2 linked regions of the Anolis sagrei genome follow. The protein of the gene in region 1 interacts with the protein of each later gene in a pairwise test. Links are inferred from orthologs where the notes say so. Each region holds a gene or a part of one and is shown on either strand. Other genes may lie near its edges. The genes, in order: MIA2 and TTC23L.

Region 1 (8,059 bases):
TTGCTGTGCCGAGAGGAGAGGCCGTGCACCTTCCTCTTCGCACAGACATCCAGCTGGGTTACTGTGCTGAAAGGAGAGGAGGCACATAGCTGGTAGAAGCCCAGCAAAGGGTTTCTTTCAGCCCCACGACTTCCTGCCAGGACCCTCACTTAAGTATAAGCCAAGGGGGCCTTTTTATTAATTTATTTATAACATGTATATTCTGCCCTTCTCACTCCGCAGGGGACTCAAGGTGAGGCACAACATATGTATGGCAAACATTCAATGCCAGGACATGAAACCATAAATATATAAAAACATTAAACTCGCATATGCACTTTAAAATCAGTTGCTTAAAAACCATTTCCGCACAATTCAATTATTGCCTCACTGGACTGCCCCAAAGGCTTGGTCCACAGCCAGGTCTTCACCATCCTTCCGAGGACAGGAGGGAGGGGGCTGACCTAATATTTCCAGGAAGGGAGTTCCATAACCAGGGGGCAATCACTGAGAAGGCCTTGTCTCTCGTCCCTGCCAAACATGCCTGTGATGGCAGGACAGAGCAGGGCCTCCCCAGAAGATCTTGGTTTTCGCAGTGGTTTGTAAAGGGAGATGCGTTCAGACAGGTAAACTGGGCCGGGGCCGTTTAGGGCTTTATAGGCCAAAGCCAGCACTTTGAATTGTGCCTGGTAGCAAAAAAGCAGCCAGTGGATCTGGCATAACGGAGTTGTGGGCTCCCTATATGCTGCCGCAGTTATTAACCTGGCTGCCTCTCTTGACTATTTGAAGCAGTCCCATGTAGAGCACGTTGCAGTAGTCTATCCTGGATGTAAAAAGAGCGTGAACCACCGTGGCCAAGGCTGACTTCCCAAGGTACGGGCACAGCTGGCGCACAAGTTTTAATTGTGAACATAAAAAATTGCTGAAAAACTAGGCTTATACTTGAGTATATACAGTACATCCTGCTCTTCTCAACCCCGGAGGGGACTCGGGGCAGCCTTACAAAGGCAACAATTCAATGCTGAGTGTACACGTTGATAAATAAACATTAAAACCAACCAGTTAAAACATCACATTAGGCAACAATTTAACATCGCACAATCTGGGGCCAGTCTGAGTTGTCAATGTTAATTTATTAGCTGCTCCCATTACTGACCAAAGCCCTGATCCCAAAGCCATGTTTTTAGTTTTTTTCTGAAGGCCATTAGGGAGGGGGCCAATCCATAGAAGAGGGGCCACCACTGAAAAGGCCCTGTCTCTCATCCCCACCAATGGGATCGAGAGCAGTTCTTCCTCCGACATTCGTCTCCGTGGTGGATCATGGAGGTATGTTCAGACATGTAAGCTGGGTCGGAAACATTTAGGGATATATAGGCTAAAGGCAGCATTTTGAATTGTGCTCAGTAGCAGACTCACAGCCAGTGAAGTGTCTTGAGATGGGGTGGAGAATCTGTTTTTGGAGACAATTTCAACCTATAGCAACACTGGTTTCCTAGCAAAGTTTATTCAGGGGACATTAGCCATTGCCTTCTGAGGGAGTGTGACTAGCTCAAGGTCACCCACTGGTTTTCTGAGACGACAGGTCGGCATTGGTACAGTGCATAAATGGTGTTAATATGGACACTAGGCATATCTCCCTGGAAAGATTATCACACAAGGCATGGCAGAGTGCCACTTGTCATATGTGTTGGCACGTATGGCATCAAGGAGTATTTGATGTAAAGAAGCAGTTCTCTGCTTCAATAAGTACCTCGTAAGCATTTTATTTTATGTTAGATTCACAAAAATGAAGCCTCAATTTTTAAAACAGTCTCATGAAGCAGGTTATTTATTTACTATATAAGTATTGTTAAAGACAAAGGAGTTTTTTTTCCTAAAGACATTATCACACCAATTATCTTGTGGCAATCGTGTTGTTTAAGCCAATGGAAACATACCTCATGGAAGACATTACACTTCGCTGCAATCGAGCTATGGCCTTCCTTTAGCAATCACAGTCCTATGATCACTCTTGCATAAACTTCCTCCTTCATCCTACTTGGAAATAGCAAGCAGGAGAGGAGGAAATTGCTAGGATATTGAAACTGTTGCCAAAGTTACTGATCACACAAGAGTCAATGTTAAACAGAAGCAATATTGGGAGCCATTGATAGGTTTTTCGACAGTTACAAATAATAGAATGCAAACAAAGGAGAAATAGCATCATGTGATAATTACCAGCCAAAGAAGGTACTGCAGATTTCTAGCCTTATGTGATAAAAGGCCTAAAATACTCTAAAATAAAAGTCATTATACCTGTCTGAAATTGTATAATCATCTACTAAAGCCATCTCAAATAGAAAATTCCCTCTTTAGGAGGATACATAAAATAGAAGAGAGAAATGAGCTAAAAGAGACTTGCACATCTTAGAGACTCCTAGAATGGGATTAATTTAGTTTGAAGGTATTTTTTCCTAGGTAAACATGGAGGATTGCAATTCAAACAGCTCTGTGTATCAAGAGTAACTTGGAATGTATTGTCGAAGGCTTTCATGGCTGGAATCACTGGGTTGTTGTAGGTTTTTGGTCTGTATGACCATGTTCCAGAAGCAGTCTTTCCTAAGGTTTCGCCTGCATCTATGGCAGGTATCCTCAGAGGTTGTGAGGTCTGTTGGAAACCAGGAACATTGGGTTTATATATCTGTGGAAAGTCCAGGGTGGAAAAAGCACTCTTGTCTGTTGGAGCTAGGTGTGTTTCAATTGGCCACCTTGGTTAGCATTCAATGGCCTGACAGTTTTTAGGTGTGACTTGTTACTGCCTGGGGGAATACTTTGTTGAGATTTTATTAGCTGTCCCTGCTTGTTTCGTCTCTGGAGTTCCCCTGTGTTTGAGTGTTGTTCTTTATTTACTGTTATAATTTTAGAGTTTGTTAATACTGGTAGCCAGATTTTGTTCATTTTCATGGTTTCTTCCTTTCTGTTGAAATTCAGTTAAAGAACAACAACCCTGTAATTTGGAACTTGGAAACTGGTATCCAAGTTGCTTTAAAGGAAGCTGCTTACCAACATTGGTTTATGCCTCCAATTACAATGGGAGAATGATCCTAGAACCAACTGCACACTCAAGTAAAGCACATGTAAGGTTTATTTGAGCAATAGATAAGAAGGTGAAAGGCAATCTTGTTATAAAACCAGTAAATAATATAAAAACAATATACTGGGTTGCTGTGAGTTTTCCAGAAGCATTTTCTCCTAACGTTTTGCCCACATCTATGGCAGGAATCCTCAGAGATTGTGAGACCTCACAACCTCTGTGGATGCCTGTCACAGATGTGGGTGAAACGTCAGGAGAGAATGCTTCTGGAATATGGCCATACAGCCTGGAAAACTAACAGCAACCTAGTGACTCAGGCCATGAAAGCCTTTGACAACACATAAAAACAATATAGTTACATAATAAAAATGGTTACACCATAGAAACCTTAGCAATTATAAGAGGAAAGTCTTCAAAGAACATAAAAAGGTATGATCGGGATGAAGTTTAATCTTGCAATTAATCTAAAAACAATGGTTTTGTTTCAAAAAGTTTCCCAAAAGTTTGCTTCTCTCATTTTAAGAGTAGTCTAGAAATCCTAATAGATACCGAGGGAGAATGTGATAGTGGATTATAAATTGATCATAAACAGTCATAAAAACCAAATTGTAATTCTCAAACCAATTGACATTTTACCTGTTTCTGATTCAACTCGTATAATCCCCCCCCCCCCCACGTGCGCAATAATCGCATGTAATTTGGAATGCTGTGTTGACCAATGGGAAGGCAGGTCTGAAAGGAGAAAGAAAAAGAGTTGGAAAAGACAGTTGGAGAAAAAACTAGATTGGAGAAAGGAAAACACTGACTAGAACAAACAAAGGTGAGTGAACCAACACAACACATACCCATTTGTAAATTGGGTTAATCCACAAGGGAAAAAATATTTAGAAGCATTGAAATGTCACACTTTTTAAAATTAATCTGGATATTCCAGTTTTGTCTCTAAATTCTTCATGAAATACGCTGTGTTTCCCTCTCTCCCCACTCGCTTGTATTCTTCCTCTTCTCTCTTCCACTGATCACAGGTCATATCTAGACTCAGACAACATTGCAAAATCTGATTTTTTAAAGGAATTAATATGATCAGGTGGTAAGGCATAATGGAAAATAAAAGTTCAAGTGAATCCTCGATGTAATGTATCCACATCTCCATGCTCATAAGGTAATATTGGTAAACTCAGTAGTCCTCACCTTTCTTGTCTCATCTGGTTGTGGTGATGATAAAATAACTTCACTGTGAGCTCCCTGGAAGAAGTCATTTCATGATAATTTTTAGAAGGCCGATCTGATATCCCTAGGGAGATCTCTCCATAGCCAAGGGGCCACCACTGAGAAGACACTGTCTCTCGTCCCCGCCAGACATACTTATGACAAAGGCAGAATTTAGAGCAGGGCCTCCCCAGACAATCTTAAGATCCTAGATGGTTCATAAGGGGCGAAACGTCAGGCGAAACATCAGGAAAGACTGCTACTTGCACATGGCCATATAACCCGAAAAACCTACAACAACCCAGTGATTCTGGCCATTATAATAAAGTATCTATGTTGTAGTTCACTGATTTGAGTGCTGGGGGCGTGATTCTGGAGAGCAGGCTTTGAATCTCTACTGATCCATGGAAACCCTCTGGGAAAGTCATAGTTTCTCAGCCTCAAAGGAAGGCAAAGGCAAACCCCCTCTGAACAAATCTTGTCAAACAAACCTCTGTGATAAGATTGCCTTAGGATCCTCATAAGTCAGAAATGACTTGAAGGTACACAACAGTGATCACTGGTTTTGTTTAGTGTCTTTAATCATTTTGTATCTGTCTCCTCACAATTTCCCATAAAGTACCCTTAATTAGAATATATGGATTCCATCACTTGACTGAAAACGCCTTTTCTGTTTCAAAATACTAGCCTCTGTTATCAAATGTAGTTAATTATTAATTTGCTTAATCAGGACAGTTGACTTGGCAGATTGCTGAGAGGGCATTTCTGCAATCAGAGTTCGACGAGAAAAGGAACACAGACTAAAGACGTTAACTAAATAAGGAAAGGAATTATCTAAGTTACTAAATTCTTGACAAAAAGTATTTTTAATTCTTTTAGGATTATCATAATTCAGTTTTTAGGATGGTGATGAATTGTGAGGTCAGGTTTTTTCTACTACTTATTTCGTCGCTAACCAACATCAGGAGTGAAAAGGTATTGTCAGACCGGAAAAAGTGTGGCGACCCAGAATGCGAAAGTAAGTACAAAGATCTGTGATTTACATAAAATGCAAATTAAAAATAAAATACAGCAACAAATTTATTTGAAACTCAGTATGTACCTTAAATTCTGATCAAACAAGGTTTAAGAAGAGATTGTTCTATATGTTTTAAACACAACAATTGTGGAAGAAGAATTGTTTTTGTGAAGCCATTGGGTTAATTTATGGTGTTGTTTATGGGAAAGGACAAAGTTCAGTTAGGAAAAAAGAAGCCTGCTAAGAAAGCTTTAAACCAGTGGTTCTCAACCTTCCTAATGCCCCAACCCTTTAATACAGTTCCTCATGTTGTGGTGACCCCCAACCATAAAATTATTTTTGTTGCTACTTCATAAATGTAATGTTGCTATTGTTATGCATCGCAATGTAAATATTTGATATGCAGGATGTATTTTCATTCACTGGACCAAATTGGCCACAAATACCCCATATGCCCAAATTTGAATACTGGTGGGGTTGGGATGGGGGGGGGGGTTATTTTATAATTTGGGAGTTGGCGTTCCTGAGATTTATAGTTCACCTACAATCGAAGAGCATTCTGAACTCCACCAACAATGGAATTGAGCCAAACTTGTCACACAGAACTCCCACAACCAACAGAATATACTGGAAGGGTTTGGTGGGCATTGCCCTTGAGTTTTGGAGTTGTAGTTCACCTACACCCAGACAGCACTGTGGACTCAAACAATGATGTATCTGGACCAAACTTGGCACAAATACTCAATATGTCCAAATGTGAACACTGATGGAGTTTGGGGAAAATAGACCTTGACATTTGGGAGTTGTAGTTACTGGGATTTATAGTTCACCCACAATCAAAGAGCATTCTGAAGGCCATCAACAAGAGAATTGGGACAAACTTCCCACAGAGAACTCCAATGATCGACAGAAAATACTGTGTTTTCTGATGGTTTTTGGTGACCGCTTTGACACCCCCTCGCGACCCCCCAGGGGTCCTGAACCCAGGTTGAGAAACACTGCTTTAAACTATCTCAGTGTCATCCCTACATAAAGGTAAAGGTTTTCCCTTGATATTAAGTCCAGTCGTGTCTGACTCTGGGGATTGGTGCTCATCTCTATTTCTAAGCCGAAGAGCCGGCGTCGTCCGTAGACACCTCTAAGGTCATGTGGCTGGCAAAGAGTTATACTTTACAGGAATGATTGTTTAACAAATATATGTAATTTGTTTGTCTGACCAACTTACACTATATGTTAGGTGTGTTGGCCCATCATTCTTTTATAGACTCTACCTTGCCTGTTCTGGCAGTTTGTCTAACTTAACTTTATACACACTTAACTGTCTTAATTAATTATAGTGGGCTGAAGAAAGGATTGTGCTAGAGTCAAAGATACAGTCCTCCAGCTGTTGGACTTGAATAACTAGTATTCTTCATAACTGGCTACACTGGCAAGGATCAATGGGAGACTCCGTCCTGATCTGTAGGATTAATATACTGATGCAATGTCCATCAGTATAATTGGTAGGTACTCATTCCTGCTCTCTGGCCTTATAGTAACCCTAGAAATTTGGTCTGGGCACCCCAGTTCATGCACAGAGACAAATTACACAGACCTTCCTGGATTCCTATTAGTCAAGTTGAGCCATCAAATGTTAAGGAAGGAGTAGACAGGTAGTAGACATATAGTATGCCTGGAAACATTTCACAGATCGAAACAAGGGTACTCCTGGGAAGAGTAATGCAGAAGGCACTGTTTACATTCCAAATTGTAATTGTGCTGGGAAAAGAAGCTAATGCTCTACATGACTTCAATGCTATAGGATAAACTACCATATATATACTCATGTATACATCAAGCTCATATAGAAATTGAGGACAGCTTTTGGGGATAGATTTATGGGCATGTATATGATCCATGAATAAGTCAAATAATATTCCATGGAGAATATTAGTAATGTTAACTTTTCTATACTTCCACATTATTTATATTTAGTAGGGTCCCCCCCCCCCCTACATTTTCTAATTGCAAATTCTTTTATTGTGGGAGCCCCTTTTGTGGAACCTGGTTCAGCTGCATCATTGGCATATGGTGGATCGTGAATCTGGCAATGGAAAATTTCTGTAGTGCTCCCTTCCTTCGATGCCCTAAGCATGTGCTTACTTTGCATAATGGTTAACCCTGCCCTTCTGTAAGATATCATATTCCTTGTACAGTCAGCCCACTATATCCATGGATTCTGTATCCACAAATTCAACCATTCATGGCTTTGAAATATGTATTTGTTAAAAATAAAAAAAAACATATAAGGGACATTATTGTACTACACCTATATATATATATATATATATATATATATATATCACCCCCTGGTGGTGCAGCAGGTTAAACTGCTGAGCTGCTGAACTTGCTCAGTGAAAGGTTGGCGGTTTAAATCCAAGGAGCAGGGTAAGCTCCTACTGTTAGACCCAGCTTCTGCCAAACTAGCAGTTCGAAAACATGCAAATGTGAGTAGATCAAGAGGTACCATTTTAGTGGGAAGGTAATGGGACTCCATGCAGTCATGCCGGTCAAATGAACTTGGAGGGGTCTACAGACAAAGCCGTCTCTTCGACTTAGAAATGGAGATGAGCACTACCCCCCAGAGTCAGACATGACTAGACTTAATGTTATGGGAAACCTTAACCTATATATAGAGGGGGGGGAGGGAAAGGGAGAGAAAGGCTTGAGGATCTGGGGATTTTGGTGTTCACACGGGGCTCTGGGACCAAACTCTAGTGGACAGCAAAGGCCCACTGATA
Region 2 (8,010 bases), on another chromosome or scaffold:
CTCAAGCAGACAAGAGTACTTTCTCCCACCCTGGGCATTCCAAAGATATGTAAACCCCACTTGCCTAATTTCCAACAGACCTCTCAACCTCTGAGGATGCCTGCCATTGATGTGGGTGAAACACCAGGAGAGAATGCATCTGGACTATGGCCATACAGCCTAGAAAACTCACTGCAACCCATTGATTCTGACCATCAAAGCCTTTGACAACACACTGCATTTAAAAACATTCAAATGTCTACATAAATGTTCTTTCTAGGAAGCTCTAGAGCACTGCTTCTTAAACTGTGGGTCCAGACCCAAAAAGGGGTCCACTTAGCTCAGTGTTGGGGTCATAAAAATTTTGTTAACCGTAAAAGTTTTTTGGACACCACACATTTACACAAATGTGTTAAGCATAACATGCAGTATTTACAGCAGACTCTGCAGAAAATACTTCAGCTGTACTCCATGAAAAAGAAAAACCTTGTTTAGCAAGCCTTGCTGATGCTGATTTATTATCAGTAACTGTTTGATTTTTATACTTTTATACCTATAACGTATTTATACCTATAAACTCTAAAATCATAACAGTTAATAAAGAGCAACACTCAAAAACGGGAATTCCAGACAAGAAACAATCAGGGCCAGCTAATCACTTTTCAACAAAGTATTCCCCCAGGCAGTAAGAAGCTTGACCTTGAAAGCCGCTAGGCCTCACAACCAACAGAACATTGTTCTGGTTGCAGATGACACGATAAATAAATAAATACAACCAACAGACCTCACAACCTCTGAGGGTGCCTGCCATAGATGCAGGTGAAACATTAGGAGAGAATGCTTCTGGAACATGACCATATTGCCCGGAAAACACATAACAACCCTGTGATTGCAGCCATGAATAGTACATTGAGAGAGATTCCTTGAGAGAACATATAAATTAAACATATAAATAATCAAATTCACAAACAGTGAAATTAACAAATATGGGATGCCAACTGTACATAGAAGGTTGGTTACCAAGGATATCAAATTTTAACTTGAACCTTTTTCTGCTCTCCAAATTGCATTTTGCCTGGCTGTGTTTGGACCATACCAATTGCGTGTATGCAAAGACAGACAGACCATAAGCAAACATCCTTACAACATTCTTGTGAAAATAAAATACAGCTTGGATTTGGAAGTGGGCCTAACAGACTCAATGGCTCAAATAGTGTTGCTTTTTTGTTCTAATGATCCATCACAGAGGACAGCCTGCCAGCTCCGTTGAGTTCAATTGCTTCTGGTTACAAAGGAAAGAAAGGCACTCTCTTTCAAGCGTGAGGAAAGCATTTTGTCACCAGGACAACTCCGGCAACAAGCTGTCACCCTGGCTACGGCTTGGAAGGGGGACCTTGGATTTGCTGTGGGAAAGGAACAAGATGCCCTTTGCCTTGCGTGCCCAGTGAAAGTGAACCCTACAAAGGGCTACCAGAGGCCAAAGGCAAGTGAGGGGAAGAGGTCTTTTCACTCTGTTCCTGGCCTGGTGCAGAGGTAGGAGGAACTTCTTCTGAGCCAATTTCCTTGTTGGGAATCAAAATTAGGGTGTTTGATACCATTCCAGGAACAGCTTTTATATTTAGTATATTAGAAAGGGGAACATGGATATGAAAAGATGCTGAGAGAGAAAACCAACACTGGGTCAGAGAGCAGGAGTCAAATAAAAATGTTCCTTGTACTGTCTAAGGCTTTCATGGCCAAAACCACTGGGTTGTTGTAGGTTTTTTGGGCTATATGGCCATGTTTTAGAAGCATTCTCTCCTAACGTTTTGCCTGCATCTATGGCAGGCATCCTCAGAGGTTGTGGACCTCATAACCTCTGAGGACGCCTGCCATAGATGCAGATGAAAAGTCAGGAGAAAATGCTTCTAGCCATATAGCCTGAAAATGCTACAACAACCCAAAAATCTTCCTAACATCACAAATGGCTTTAAAAAGCTACCATTCCTTGAAACTGCTATTTGTTTCACATAGTAATTCTTTAATGTAAATAGCTTTAGCAATTTCCGCCCTGCAACTATAGGGTTGGGATGAAACCATCTTCATAATCCAACGTGGAAGAGGGGATATGCAAAAAGGATGGGGATTGGGACCATTCTTACAAAGTTTGGAGATCAAGGGCATGCAGTTTCTATAGATTTAGAAGAGAGACTGTGGATACAATGGAAAAGCTCAAGGTGACAGCAAATCTGTGAACTGCAAGACCTTGCCCTGACTTTGGAGCAAACTTCAGTTGCATGCAGATGCCAGTCCAGTGCCATCTAAAACAAGGCCTTACCCAGAGACTTCTGCCAACATCTCTTAAACTGAGTTTTCCAATGATTCTACCAAGAAAGATTTGCATTCAAAGCTTGTGCTTTGTCACTGAACTATGATCCAACCCCAGCAATAGATACTATTATTTTATTTATTTTATTTACAGTATTTATATTCCACCCTCCTCACCCTGTAGGAGACTCAGGGAGGATTACAATGCACATATACATGGCAAACATTCAGTGTCATAGACATACAACATATATAGACAGACACAGAGGCAATTTAACATTCCAACTTTCCAGCTTCATGAGGGTATGCTTGATTTCGGCCACAGGAGGAGCTGCCACTTCACCGTCCACTTGTGACATCGAGTCCTTGATGGAGTACTTCCTCATTCTTACACATGCTGCTGGAAGGTTTTATGGTGTTGTAAATTAGCTAAATTAGCCTCCCCTGCATAAAGTGGTACCTAAATTTCCTACTTGACAGATGCAGCTGTCTTTCGGGCTACATAGGTCAACAGCAAGTAGACTATTAATGATCAGGAGCTCACTCCGACCCAGGCTGGCTTCAAACTCATGACCTCTTGATCAGTAGTGATTTAATACAGCTGGCTACTAACTAGCTGTGCCATGATCTAGTCCAACCTTTCCCAAATGACGCAGATCTAGATTACTCATATGTACAAAAAAAAGTTCTTCCAGAGCAATATAATCAGTCCTCCACATTTGCAGGTTTGACCTTTTTGAATGTGATCATTTGAGGATTTGATTTAAATTTTCTCACTAGAAATCTCTACAGTCTTCAGAGTGACTCCATGGTCAGCTTCGACCAGAACTGCTCTTACAAGAGAACCAGTAGAATAATGTTTCTTAGTGCTGGATTTGAAACAGCAATGATGATGATGATGATGATGATGATGATGATGATGATGATGATGTTTCTTAGTGCTGGGTTTGAAACAGCAATACTACTACTACTACTAATAATAATAATAATAATAATAATAATAACAACAACAACAACAATAACAACAACAACTACTACTACTACTTTATTCTTATATCCCGCCATCATCTCCCCGAAGGGACTGTGGGCAGCTTACAAAGTGCCTAAAAACAAACATAAAAATGAAGCAGAATATAAAGTACAATGAGATAAAACACATATGCACATTCAGACTCAGTAAAACTAAGGACATCAACCAGCAACATACTTTCAAATTCTTATTTGGTCATGGATTCACTGGGAACAGATTTAAAAGGTGGCTGTTTTCTTGTAGGAGTAAGAAAGTGGCAATTTTGGTGGAGTGGGGAGCAAAAGGGATGAGCTGGAGCAGAAGGAGTGGATGGAGGCATTGAACTTGCTGGAACAGGTTGAAAAGGTGGCTGAATTTTCTTGGATGTAAAGAGGTGGTACTTTTAGTTGGGTTGGAGATACTCCCACATGAGTATGTTTTTCCCAGAGGTTATTCCACTAAAAGTTTATCTTTTGCCCAACTATTGTATATTTCATCTGCCAGCACTCCAACCACTTGTTCCTTTTCTTTGCCCACCATTTGCAGGTAACACCACTGCTTCCATCTCAGGCATGTGGTGCAGAGTTTCCAAAAAAGAAGCATGTATTCATTTTAATTTCAGCCACTTTTTTAAGGTGGTGATCATATAGTTTACCTCAATTGATAGCTTTGTCAGAAAGTCATTTATACAAACGTGGTTGAATCCAGAGGTTAATCCAAACCACAACTGAACTGTTAGTTCTCTTTATAATGACAATTACACAATCCAACAAAATCTAACTTTTTGTAATCATCAGAAATGAGAGTAGCACAGTTTAAATCAATTTTTATGCTGATTTTAAAAATGTCTTTTTTATCACATCAATTTTTTTAATATGATGAATGGTGCATTATAGTGGACTACTGTAAAGTCTGCACATTTCACATCATATTCGTGTAACACAAGCCAACAAGTATTTTCCATCAGATATAATTTTAGATCATTCTTATAGAGTTTTTCACACGGAATGCAGATCTGTGTTTATTTTTTCTCTATTACAATGAAGCTAATTGAATAATTAGATTCTATTGATATCGGTGTGTAAATGCATTAATTATTTGATTTGCCTCATTGCAGAAACTACATTGTTGTTCATTCGTTCAGTTGTCTCCGACTCTTCGTGACCTCATGGACCACCTCACGCCAGAGCTCCCTGTTGGCCGTCACCACCCCCAGCTCCTTCAAGGTCAGTCCAGTCATTTCAAGGATGCCATCCATCCATCTTGCCCCTGGTCGGCCCCTCTTCCTTTTACTTTCCACTTTCACCAGCATAATTGTCTTCTCTACATATGATAGAGAAAAACCTAAACACAGATCTTCATTCAGTGTGAAAAACTCTATAAGAATGACTGAAAATTATATCTGATGAAAAATCCTTGTCGGCTTGAGTTATTTGTCTCTGAAGTAGTGACTGCTACTCCTCTGCAGAAAGGACATTTTTGGTCTGTTGACTCTTAGTTGTTAACTCCAATTTTATAACATTTAAGACTACAGAATAAGAAACGATCGAACACATGGAGGAAATTAAGGGCAACTGTGAAGGAGAGGAAATGAAGTTCAAGCTGTTTGCTACACCGCTAGATAAGTTAATGAAAGCACAGAAAAAGGCAGACAGGTTTGCTGAAGAAAAAGAGGTAACATTTCCCTTTTCATGTGCACAGTGATACAAGCTGACGGGTTCAACGATGTAGAAGCGTTAGAATAAGAGTTGCTTTTAACATTTGCTCAGGTTTCCCTCAAGGAATGGGAGGGATGATACGAGTGGTTTCTAAATCTTTAAGAGGGATCAAGATTTGGAATCAAAATGTCCAATCGGCCACGAGACTCAGTGGGTTGTTGTGAGATCAAGATGAAGGAAGGAATAACAGCTGCGAATTTGTGGAAGACAGAGGGGGGTCAAGCACAATGTCCATGCAAGGCATATCCGTGATTGTGTAAATGCTGCAGGAGAACAGCATCATGCAATGATGCCCTGAGTTGGGAAAGAAAAATACACACTTTCCTCCGGCCTCAAATGTTTTATGTGTTGTTGAGGGTTTTCATGGCCGGAATCACTGGGTTACTGTGTGTTTTCTGGGCTGTATGACCATGTTCCAGAAGCATTCTCTCCTAACGTTTTGCCCACATCTATGGCAGGCATCTTCAGAGGTTGGGAGGTCTTCTGGAACATGGCCAGAAAACTCACAGCAACCCACTCACATGTTTTATTTTTCACAACAAATCTAATTTGTATGTTATCTTTTTCTTTTCCCCAGGCACAAAATGCCTGCAAAGAACTAATCCAATGTATTGCTCTCACTCGAATTATCTATGGAAATGGGCACTGGCGGTTGGGGCAAGCATTTGCCAACCTTGCTCACGGCTATCTTGTGCTCCAAGGTAAAGCATCCACAGGTTGTTCTAAACAAAATACGGAAAAAGAGATACAATTTGATCCTGACATCAGTTGTAACTTCTGAAGAGAAAGCCAAATAAAGGCAATTAAGGCCAAGAGGAATTACGGAAATTGGGACCCCTTGTTCACATGTGTGGCATAGAAGCAAAATAAATGAATGCATTAATAAGGAAGCAAGTACAAAAGACAGTGACAGAAAATTACATGTGAGGATGTTTTCAATTACTGCAGACTAATCAAATGCATTTTCCTTACTTACTCAAGTAGCATAAAACACTGATGAGATCCAATGTGGTTTCCACACTGCACAAGAATAACAATTTTATTCCACTTTATATACCATGGCTTTTTCCTAATGATCTGTAGAATTGGTAGTTTAGGAAGATATTAAGTATTCTCCAATCCCTGAACACTATAGCCCCTTTCAATTTCCTCAGCAAAACTACAACTCCCAGGATTCCGTTGCACCCAGCCAGAACAAGTTAAAGTGATTTCAAAATGTTATAATGGTGTAATGTGGATATACCCAAAGTCTTAATTTATTATTTGCTTTATTTTTATCCCACTCATCTCCCAATACTGAGACTCAAAAAGGCTGGCATGACACAAAATAATTAAAACTGGGCAAATGCATTAAAATGTGAAACTAAAATAAAAACAGTACAATTACATCTTGCATGTCATGAACATAAAACATTAAAATTCATTTTAAATGACACAAAGTACTTAATCACACTGGAGAATGAATCCACTTTAAATCTGGTTTCTGCCACCTGCAGAATTCTGGGGTTTGTAGTTTAGGGAGGAGCCTTTAACAACCTCCCTAAACTATAAACCCCACAATTCTGCAGGTGGCAGAAACCAGATTTAAAGTGGATTCATTCTCCAGTGTGATGAGGTTCTTACAAAGTATTGATGAGCATTTTTCCTACTGCACTGGGCCTTGGAGCAATTGTATCAAGGAAACAGTTGAAATATAGCTTACCCTGGAGCAATTCTAGTTGTATTCCCTTGTCTTAGAAAAGCATGACTGATACTTAGGCGATCCCTCGTTGGACGAGTAAGATGGTCTTCCATCATGGGTTTCCTTGTGGGTCCGCATGTGGCTGTGGAGCCCTATTCTTGCTCTGCATCTTCTTCCGCAGTGAGGGCATTGGTTTCCAGGTGGAAGGCGGTCCCGGTCGGGGTTGGCTTGACGCGCCTTCCTCCTGGCACGTTTCTCTCTTTCACCCTCCACTCGTGCCTCCTCGAATTCTGCAGCACTGCTGGTCACAGCTGACCTCCAGCTGGAGCGCTCAAGGGCCAGGGCCTCCCAGTTCTCAGTGTCTATGCCAGAGTTTTTAAGGTTGGCTTTGAGCCCATCTTTAAATCTCTTTTCCTGTCCACCAACATTCCGTTTTCCGTTCTTGAGTTCGGAGTAGAGCAACTGCTTTGGGAGACGGTGGTCAGGCATCCGGACAACGTGGCCTGTCCAGCGGAGTTGATGTTGGAGGACCATCGCTTCAATGCTGGTGGTCTTTGCTTCCTCCAGCACGCTGACGTTTGTCCGCTTGTCTTCCCAGGAGATTTGCAGGATTTTCCGGAGGCAGCGCTGATGGAATCGTTCCAGGAGCTGCATGTGACGTCTGTAGACAGTCCATGTCTCACAGGCATATAGCAGGGTTGGGAGGACAATAGCTTTATAGACAAGCATCTTAGTATCCCTACGGATGTCCCGGTCCTCAAACACTCTCTGCTTCATTCGGGAAAATGCTGCACTTGCAGAGCTCAGGCGGTGTTGTATTTCGGCGTCGATGTTGACTTTGGTGGAGAGGTGGCTGCCAAGGTAGCGGAAATGGTCGACATTTTCTAATGTTACACCATTAAGCTGTATCTCTGGCATTGGAGAGGGGACGGCTGGTGACTGCTGGAACAGCACTTTGGTGCATGACTGATACCTCTCTATGATTAGAATGGAATCAGAGATGTAAAAATTCATTCTTAGGTCTCACATAGCAATAATTTGTTTGTATTTTTTAGGGTTTGCTTTCACTCTCTGCCTGTCTCATCCTCTGTGGCATGTTGTAATGCAGCTTCACTTGGAAACAAGCTGAGTTTGGGTAGGGAATGTTGGGAATTGTAACACCGAGTGATTTCAGGCAAGTCACTCTCTCTCAGCCTCTGGGGAAGGCAAAGGCAAACCCACTCTGAACAAACCTTGCCAAGAAAACCCACTGATGGATTGCCATAACTCAGAAACAACTTGGAGGCACACAAAGTGCAAAAGAGCAACTTTACCTA

What was found.
Region 2: the proteins of MIA2 (region 1) and TTC23L interact in binary tests that used the Homo sapiens proteins (3 or more experiments, as listed by UniProt). The two-hybrid records come from large-scale screens. The link is inferred for Anolis sagrei from reciprocal best matches to the Homo sapiens genes MIA2 and TTC23L.

What each region holds. Positions count from the first base shown.
Region 1 is NC_090021.1:303,593,939-303,601,997, forward strand, and holds the start of MIA2 (melanoma inhibitory activity protein 2), read left to right. Parts: upstream 1-5,038; 5' UTR 5,039-5,164; coding exon 5,165-5,279; intron 5,280-8,059. UniProt on the Homo sapiens protein: Plays a role in the transport of cargos that are too large to fit into COPII-coated vesicles and require specific mechanisms to be incorporated into membrane-bound carriers and exported from the endoplasmic reticulum.
Region 2 is NC_090022.1:280,073,369-280,081,378, reverse strand, and holds the start of TTC23L (tetratricopeptide repeat protein 23-like), read left to right. Parts: upstream 1-4,837; 5' UTR 4,838-4,849; coding exon 4,850-4,969; intron 4,970-5,590; coding exon 5,591-5,714; intron 5,715-8,010.